Mytilus edulis: one gene and its partner. The protein of the gene in region 1 purifies or fractionates together with the protein of each later gene. This does not show direct contact. Links are inferred from orthologs where the notes say so. Each region holds a gene or a part of one and is shown on either strand. Other genes may lie near its edges. The genes, in order: acidic fibroblast growth factor intracellular-binding protein-like and C2 domain-containing protein 5-like.

What was found.
Region 2: the proteins of acidic fibroblast growth factor intracellular-binding protein-like (region 1) and C2 domain-containing protein 5-like purify together in Homo sapiens (affinity purification with mass spectrometry; 3 studies listed by BioGRID and IntAct, counting the BioPlex papers as one, with this or other methods). This does not show direct contact. The link is inferred for Mytilus edulis from reciprocal best matches to the Homo sapiens genes FIBP and C2CD5.

Annotation. Positions count from the first base shown.
Region 1 is NC_092346.1:70,087,465-70,091,400, forward strand, and holds the start of acidic fibroblast growth factor intracellular-binding protein-like, read right to left. Parts: upstream 2,757-3,936; 5' UTR 2,471-2,756; exon of another isoform or gene 2,467-2,470; intron 1,142-2,466; 5' UTR 1,123-1,141; coding exon 1,041-1,122; intron 1-1,040. UniProt on the Homo sapiens protein: May be involved in mitogenic function of FGF1. May mediate with IER2 FGF-signaling in the establishment of laterality in the embryo.
Region 2 is NC_092350.1:79,274,801-79,278,736, reverse strand, and holds the start of C2 domain-containing protein 5-like, read right to left. Parts: upstream 2,454-3,936; 5' UTR 2,368-2,453; intron 1-2,367. Other genes in the region: glycerol-3-phosphate phosphatase-like, read left to right, coding at 2,745-2,823. UniProt on the Homo sapiens protein: Required for insulin-stimulated glucose transport and glucose transporter SLC2A4/GLUT4 translocation from intracellular glucose storage vesicle (GSV) to the plasma membrane (PM) in adipocytes.

The DNA of each region.
Region 1 (3,936 bases):
ACTCAATTTTGAAGGGTCAGTTAAAGTAGCTGGAAGTTTCTGACTTTATTTTCAAAAATAATGCCATTATATTATATAATACCTGAATGTAAGCAAATCATATGATAATATGTGGCGTCCTTCGTGCCACTCTATCCCTCCTGTTTGATACTTTAAAACAGATGAGATCCCCACCTCTCAACCATATACATTCATGTATGGGACTATATAACTAGTAAAATGAAATATAGGGGAGTTCCTGAGGTTACCCAACCCCCTCCTTTTTGGTAACTTTGACAGGGTTGGGATCCCTACCCCCTAAACCATATGTATTCAAGTATGAGACAATATAACTAATCAAATGAAATATAGGGGGATTCCCTGGGGTCAAACCACCACCTCCTGTTTGGGAACTTTTAAACGGTCGAGATCCCCAGCCCTAAACCATATATTCAAGTATGGGACAATATAATAAATCAAATGAAATATAGGGGTCCCTGTGGTCACTGTACACCCTCCTGTTTGAGAACTTGGAAATGGTCGAGATCCCTACCCCTGAACCATATATACTCATGTATTGTACTACATGTATATAACAAATCAAATGAACTATAGGGGGAGTCCCTGAGGTCACCCTAACCCCTCCTGTTTGGTAACACAGAAATGGATGAGATCCCAACCCCTAAACCATACATACACATGTATGGCACAACATAACTTATCAAATGAAATATAGGGGGAGTCCCTGAGGTCACCCCATCCCCTCCTGTTTGGGAACTTTGAAACATCGAGATTCCCACCCCTAAACCATAAATTCAAGTATGAGACAATATAATATGTCAAATGAAATATAGGGGGAGTGCCTGGAGTAGACCACCCCCTCCTGTTTGAGAACTTGGAAATGGTCGAGATCTTCACCCCTAAACCATACATACTCAATATCTATCAGGAAAGAAGAAAGATTGAGAATTGGTCTGTGTATATCGAAAATGAAAAGTTTTGATTTTTTTTTTTTTCCTTCCATTACAAAATATCATCTTTTTATACATGTACAATATTACCTGATAATCCATTAAGCCATAGATCATACAGCTCAAAATCAATTATGGTGAAGTTTCCAACAAACACATCTAATGTTGCCATAACCAAATTTTTTTAAAACCTGAAAAATATAAATGATGATTTAAAAATGTAATTTATCTATATCTATACACAGCCGTTGGACGTCAAGAGTAATCTTGGACTACTCAATGTCTAAGGTCATGTCTTACTTAACTCTCAGGTGTTTCACATAATCAAACATATTTGAATACACTATGGCTCCAACTAGGAACATATATATAAATATAATGATTGATTGATGGTTGCTTTACATCCAGTGGCAAATATTTCAAGCGTGTTCAGGAAGATATAGATATACTGTTCCCAGCTCCAACATATAAATTAACAGGCTGTACATAGAAAATTATGTTAGACCACAGATTTTTGTGTTGTGGTTAGACATTTTTAACAGTTTATTTAGAGACTTGATTGACACACATACAAGAATGGGAGTACCTTCATGAAAAATAACAGTAAAAATCAGGCCAAATGAAGTTTTTAGGTTATTTTTGGTGAATGATGATAAAATGTACACTTTCTTCTAGACAATCAAAATATTGATTGATTTTGAAAAAAATATTTAAATTGAAAAAAAATTATTTGACTATTTCAATAAATATTATAATATTTGAGACCTCTGTCAAATCACTATCATTTACCCCCCTTAAAAGCTAAAATTTTGTTGTCTTCAATGAAATATTTAGATCATTTAATCTCATCTAACAAAATCTTAGCTCATGACATATTTATTCAAACAAGAGAAAACAACCTATGGACATGTAATATGAAGAAATGTATCCATAATCTGTGTTTTTCATATTTAACATCTTTTAATGTTCCTATTACACCAGTGGCGGATCCAGGGGGGGGGGGGTTCCGGGGGTGCGCACCCCCCCTTTATTTTTGCCGATCAATGCATTTGTATCGGGACATATGTTTTGCACCCCCCCTGCACCCCCCCTTTGCCCTGGGTTAGCACCCCCCCCTTTCGAAAATTCCTGCATCCGCCCCTGTACACCTATGCTTGCTCAAATAAAACAATGAATTCATGACCAAATTTTACAAGAACAGAATTCATATATTACAGAATCATCAAAATTATCAGTCATGCTTCAGTGATTTCCTCAATAATCAACCAAATTTTCCCCCACAATTGGCACTAAAGGGTGGGCCGGCCCCCCTCCAGACCCCCTGGAACGTCCATGCAAGGTTGTCTGGCTGTGCGTATCCCATGAGTATGACAGTCAGTTCATCATCAATATCAAGAGTTGACACTGACACTAAATTTGTATCAGATAGATACTGACAGTATGAGTATGAAAGTTCGGATAAAATCATTAAATAGACATTATCTAAAGGACAGCATAAGATTATTTCTCTTCGTACCGACCTAAAAATGTGTCTTCGATAACTGAATCACATTGCAAACCACAGTTTGGTTCCACGGGGACTGTTGGTCTTCTTTTATTAGTTTGGTAAATAGTTGTATCACGGGAGATAATCCAATTCAGTAACAGCCAAGTTTTCTCCCTTGTCATCCGAATTTTCACATGAAATAAATCAAAACATCACTTCACATCAAATTAACAGCAGTGAAATAACCATAACTTGGATTTGATGGAAAAAACTTATTTTTACCTCGATAACAACAGTCACGCTAGAATAATAGGTACTTGGGAACAGGACAATTTTTAGCCATCCCCCCTTTTTTTTATATATAAATTTCGATTATTTTTCGCTTTTCTGTATCAGAATTTACCAGAAAAAACTTGTTTAAGGTGGTACCCAACACTTTCACTAAAATTAATTTGGCTCGTTTAATTTTCATAAAATTTTGTCAAAGTAGACCCTTAAACAAAAATATAAAAATTTAAAAATTTTTGAACCAACTGTTTTGTCAGAAAAATTACACTGGTTATATAGCACTTTGACAAAAAACAATTTTGATCATTGAGAAGCTTAATATTCCTTTAACAACACAACGTAATTAAAACGTTTAGCTGACTTTACAGAGTTATCTCCCAGTAGTGTTAGGTACCACCTTAAAATATATCAGTGACTGCTGTAGGTAATAAATTTTAAATTGATTGTAAATAGACAAACAAATCATCATTCTATTATATTTAAAAACGCAAAAATAATCAAAATTAACAAACAAACAAAATCTGAAAAAAAAAAAAAATTAAAAGGAAGGGTTAAACAAATATCGTGTCACAAGTACCTATGTTTATTAATGAATTTCTATGTTTATAAATTTTTTAATTTTATTATTTGAGGGTGGTAACTATAAAGGGGGTACTGAACACGAAAACACGTGAAACAAAAATCGCAAAAACGTTGCACGAAAAATCAAAATTGGGAAAAACGAAGCACAAGAAATAAAATCATAAATATTAAGGAAAAAAAGTACTATAAGTTATTACTCAGTTGTTCTTGATGATTATGCAGCCTTTATCAATGGACATGGAGACCTTGCGGTCATCTTTTAGCGTCCGCTACTTGCATCTTATTTGAAAAAAAAATCATTCATAGTAATTTGATGGACTTCATTGATACCATACATATTGCAAAAGTAGAATGATAACAACATACATAAATTACTATCAGATTAGATTGGACGTTAAGCAACCAACAATCAATCAATCAATCACAAATTTCCGAAGGTATTCAGTATAACACACCATAGATGATTACATCTATGAACACACTGACTTTTTAATCAAATGCGTGACATGCACGAGAAATGAAGAGCACAGACACGAAACACGGAAAATAGATAAAGGGAAACACGAAGCACGCAAATCGAGCCAAACACGAGAAAACGAGAAATAAAACGTCAAAACATGAAAGAAAATA
Region 2 (3,936 bases), on another chromosome or scaffold:
ATCATCTGATAGGCCTGTACACTCATTGGATTTGTATAATCCTGTTTTTTTTTTCAGTTGAAAAAAGTTTATTGAAATGCAATCAATAAAAAGAAGAAGATAAGGTATGATTGCCAATGAGACAACTCTCTGCAAGAGACCAAATGACACCGAAATTAACGACTATAGGTCACGATATTGTCAGTATTGTTTTTTTCTACTTATGATTAAATATGATTTTGTGAATTTAATGGTAAATAAAAAAAAAAGAAATTTTGTGAAAAAATTACCAGTATGGTGTTTGTTATATGGAACAGAATAAGGTAGCAAAATGAGGTACTGATTAGTCTTGGTCCCAAAATGTCTCCTGCCTTGTCAAACTGTCTATCAATCATGTCTACTAAATATGTCTCCTACGGTGCCAAACTGTCTATTAAACTTGGAGCTAAACCTGTCGAGGTGACGAATTGTCCTGTAAAGTTACCTTATCTACAAAGCACATCATTGATTCGGATCAGTAAGACTGGTTTCCGAGAATAGTATACATTTAACCTGTTAAAAACTACCCGACAAAGAATCAGTTAAAAATTATCGATTGCAACAAGTACACATGTTGAAGAAAAAGGTTTTGCATTTGAATAAACAGAATGCAGAAACATGTCAAACTAATATTTGTTTTCTTGTTTTTTGTTTATAATTATTGTTCATCAAAGTTGGATTAAATTTATTTTCTGCTGAATAATTGTACTTGTCCCGACGGACAAGCTTGATACAGCTTTTACTTGTCCGACCTTTTTTCCCTCTGGTACCAGACAATCGGACAAGCGTTATTGTCGAGGCCTGATATTGAATCCAACAATGCGTGTTGTGATCAAGTTTTATTCTTAATCACAACTGGAGTATATAATATCTGGCAGGTGCTTGTTTTAATTCAATAGTTGCATACATGTGATTCTTCCGGCGGGAGTCAAAATCTCCCGCTTTTCAGACCCTCTTCCGTCCCTCCCGTTAAAATTTGAAATCTTCCGCTTTTGAAAATGTCAACCTCGTAAAATTTTCAATACACATTTTTGTTTACAAAATCGATAGGGACAGAGAAAAAGTCCGAGAAACTCGAAATTGATATGGGAAAAGTCCGAGAAAAACGGAAATTGCCTGTTGTGTCAAAATCATAAAATAGGTAAAATCAGCCCAAGGTGTTTAGGATTAAACTGTTTATACAGCAATAAATTAAAGATAATAGGCAATTACCTGGTGACAACTAGCTAGTCTAAGACACAAGCCTGGTTGATTAAAAGTGAAATAGTTAATACTGACAAAGGATTAAATTGACTAATTGTACAAGTTGTATAAACAACGATGCAATTCACTATGTGATGCTGTTGAAAACATGGAACATTTACTGAACCTCAAAGACAAATGAAATCAACTCAAATATGATATTTATGGCTAGTTCTCTATCCAAGCCAATGGAATACCTATATAAGTATAGTTGTCTTGGAAATTTTTGAATTTGACAAAATGCAAACTGTTTTTTATCACCAAATCCCAGCAGCAAATAAAAGAAGACCAAGTATCTAGCCCAATTCAACTCTGTCTTGAGATTTGATTTCAAATGGTGCAGATCCAGTACCAAGGGTCAAGACCATGCTTACTACACTTCATGCAAAGCTGACTATGATGGCCCCAATGACTTGACCACACTTATGGAGACAGCTACCAACCAGCAAGCCTACATATCTATCAATTTAACACCTTCTGTTACAAGCCAGTAGTGGTACCAAAGTTGACAATTTAGCTTTATCAGAGATACTTTTTGCCAACTATGTATGATGGCTGATCACTTTATTTTGAATTATACATAATGAATAAATTTTTGAAAACCCCTTATCTTCTATTTTTATCAAGTATCAGGTGTTGACAGGTATGGAATTATTGTTCCTTTAACCAAAAAAAAAAAGGAAGATATGCAGTTTAAACACACAAAAAAATCATTGCGTACGTCGATAAAAGGTCGATAATAAATCTCCAGTTTTGAGACCTAAACTCCAGCTGAAAATTTCCAAATCTCCAGTTGTGGCTTGACAACTCTGTCACATGTATGTAGTTGGATACTAGTTATCAGGTGATCAGGTATTTATTCAGATTATCCGGTATTTATTCAGAGGAATAATAGTTTGTTGACAACTTTTGTTAGGTCTCTAAAGCAGCCTGTTTGACAAACCAATATATTTCTGGGGCTGATGTATGTGATTACATTTTTTTTGTACAAATGATTATTTCAAGATTGTTGACATACACTACTGACAAACACACATTGACAGCTATTCTGAATCGTTGCATGTTATACCAACTAATTGATGGTGAAGTTATGATGAAAATTAAAACCTGAAGTAACTATTCTTTCGCAAGTGAATCAACTAAACGAAGAAAGAGTTTCGTCTGCATGTGCTCGCTTGTAAAGCCATTTTGAATTATTTATTAATAAGAGATGTACGTTCCGAATGGAAAATTTTTAAGAATGTCATCTCAAAGTACACTTTCACAATACTATAATTTCTCCTGATTTACCTTTCATTGTACAAAATAATTTATTTTTGAATGAATTTAATTTAACTGGTGTTATAGAAATGTCGCCACTGCTGTCAATCATTTGAATGAATGATCATTAATTTTCATAAAGATAAATAGTACATTTTGAAATAGTCTTTTTTATTTTCTAGACTCCACATAGAAGATTTACTGAATCGGAAAGGTCAATAATTATGGCATGCAGAAAAGTTGACAGAGCGATTGCCAGGAAAATAATTGATAGTATCGATAACTTTCTGTTCGATTGTGATGGTAAAAATATTTTTATGCTGATGAAATAGCTCTTGCTTTTACTTTTACGTGTTTGTTTTGCATTTTTGACCCTGTTCCCACACCTTATCATAAAAAACATGTACAGTAACCCAGCTAACAATGTTACGTCATAATTACGTCGTGACAATGTCATGTTTTCGTCGCATTGACGTCAGGTTATTACGTTGTATTTACATAAAAGTGTAGGGTTTTCTTGACGTTGTCACAACGTCGTACATTAACGTTGTGGTGACGTAAAATTACGTTTCTACAACGTTATTCCTGACATTACAACAACGTTTATATCACGTTATATCTATGTTGTCACAACGTCATACATCAACGTTGTGGTGACGTAAAATTACGTTTCTACAATGTTATTCCTGACATTACAACGTTTATATCACGTTATCACAACATCATACATTAACGTTGTGGTGACGTTAAATTACGTTTCTACAACGTAAATATCACATTATGTCGACGTAATATACTTGCACTTTTATATTATGCTATATAATTGGCCCAAAAATGATCATACATAGTATCAACTGTGTTTGGGACCATGTGGTCACCTCTAGATGATATATGTTGGTGTTTTTCTCTGAAGGAATTCGTATATTCTTTTTTTTTGTAGCTTCAATTGTGATATAACAGAAATGAATCCTAGGGCCATCTATAGCTGAGAGGCTGCCTATTCGTATGCAGTTCTTGATAGAATTAGTGCTTGTAAAAATAATATGCATTTATCATATATGTAACTCTATAAGAGGTATAAGATGTTGCCCCGGTCTCTTTAACCCGTCTTTAATTGCTGCCTATACGATATGGGATTTGCCCATTGTTGAAGGCCGTACAGTGACCTCTATAGTTATTTTCTGTGTCGTTTGGTATCTTGTGGAGAGTCATTGGCAATCATACCACATCTTCTTTTTTTAGATTCAATTTATTTCATCGTAGTTTACATTTCTCATTAAGCATGTTCACGTTCTGAATATAATATCTGGCTAGCTAAATACCCACCCATGAAAGTTATAAAAAAAAGTTTATGAAAAGTAAATAATGCCTGTATATATAATAAAGTGAAGAATTGATCGTTAATAACTTTGTTTA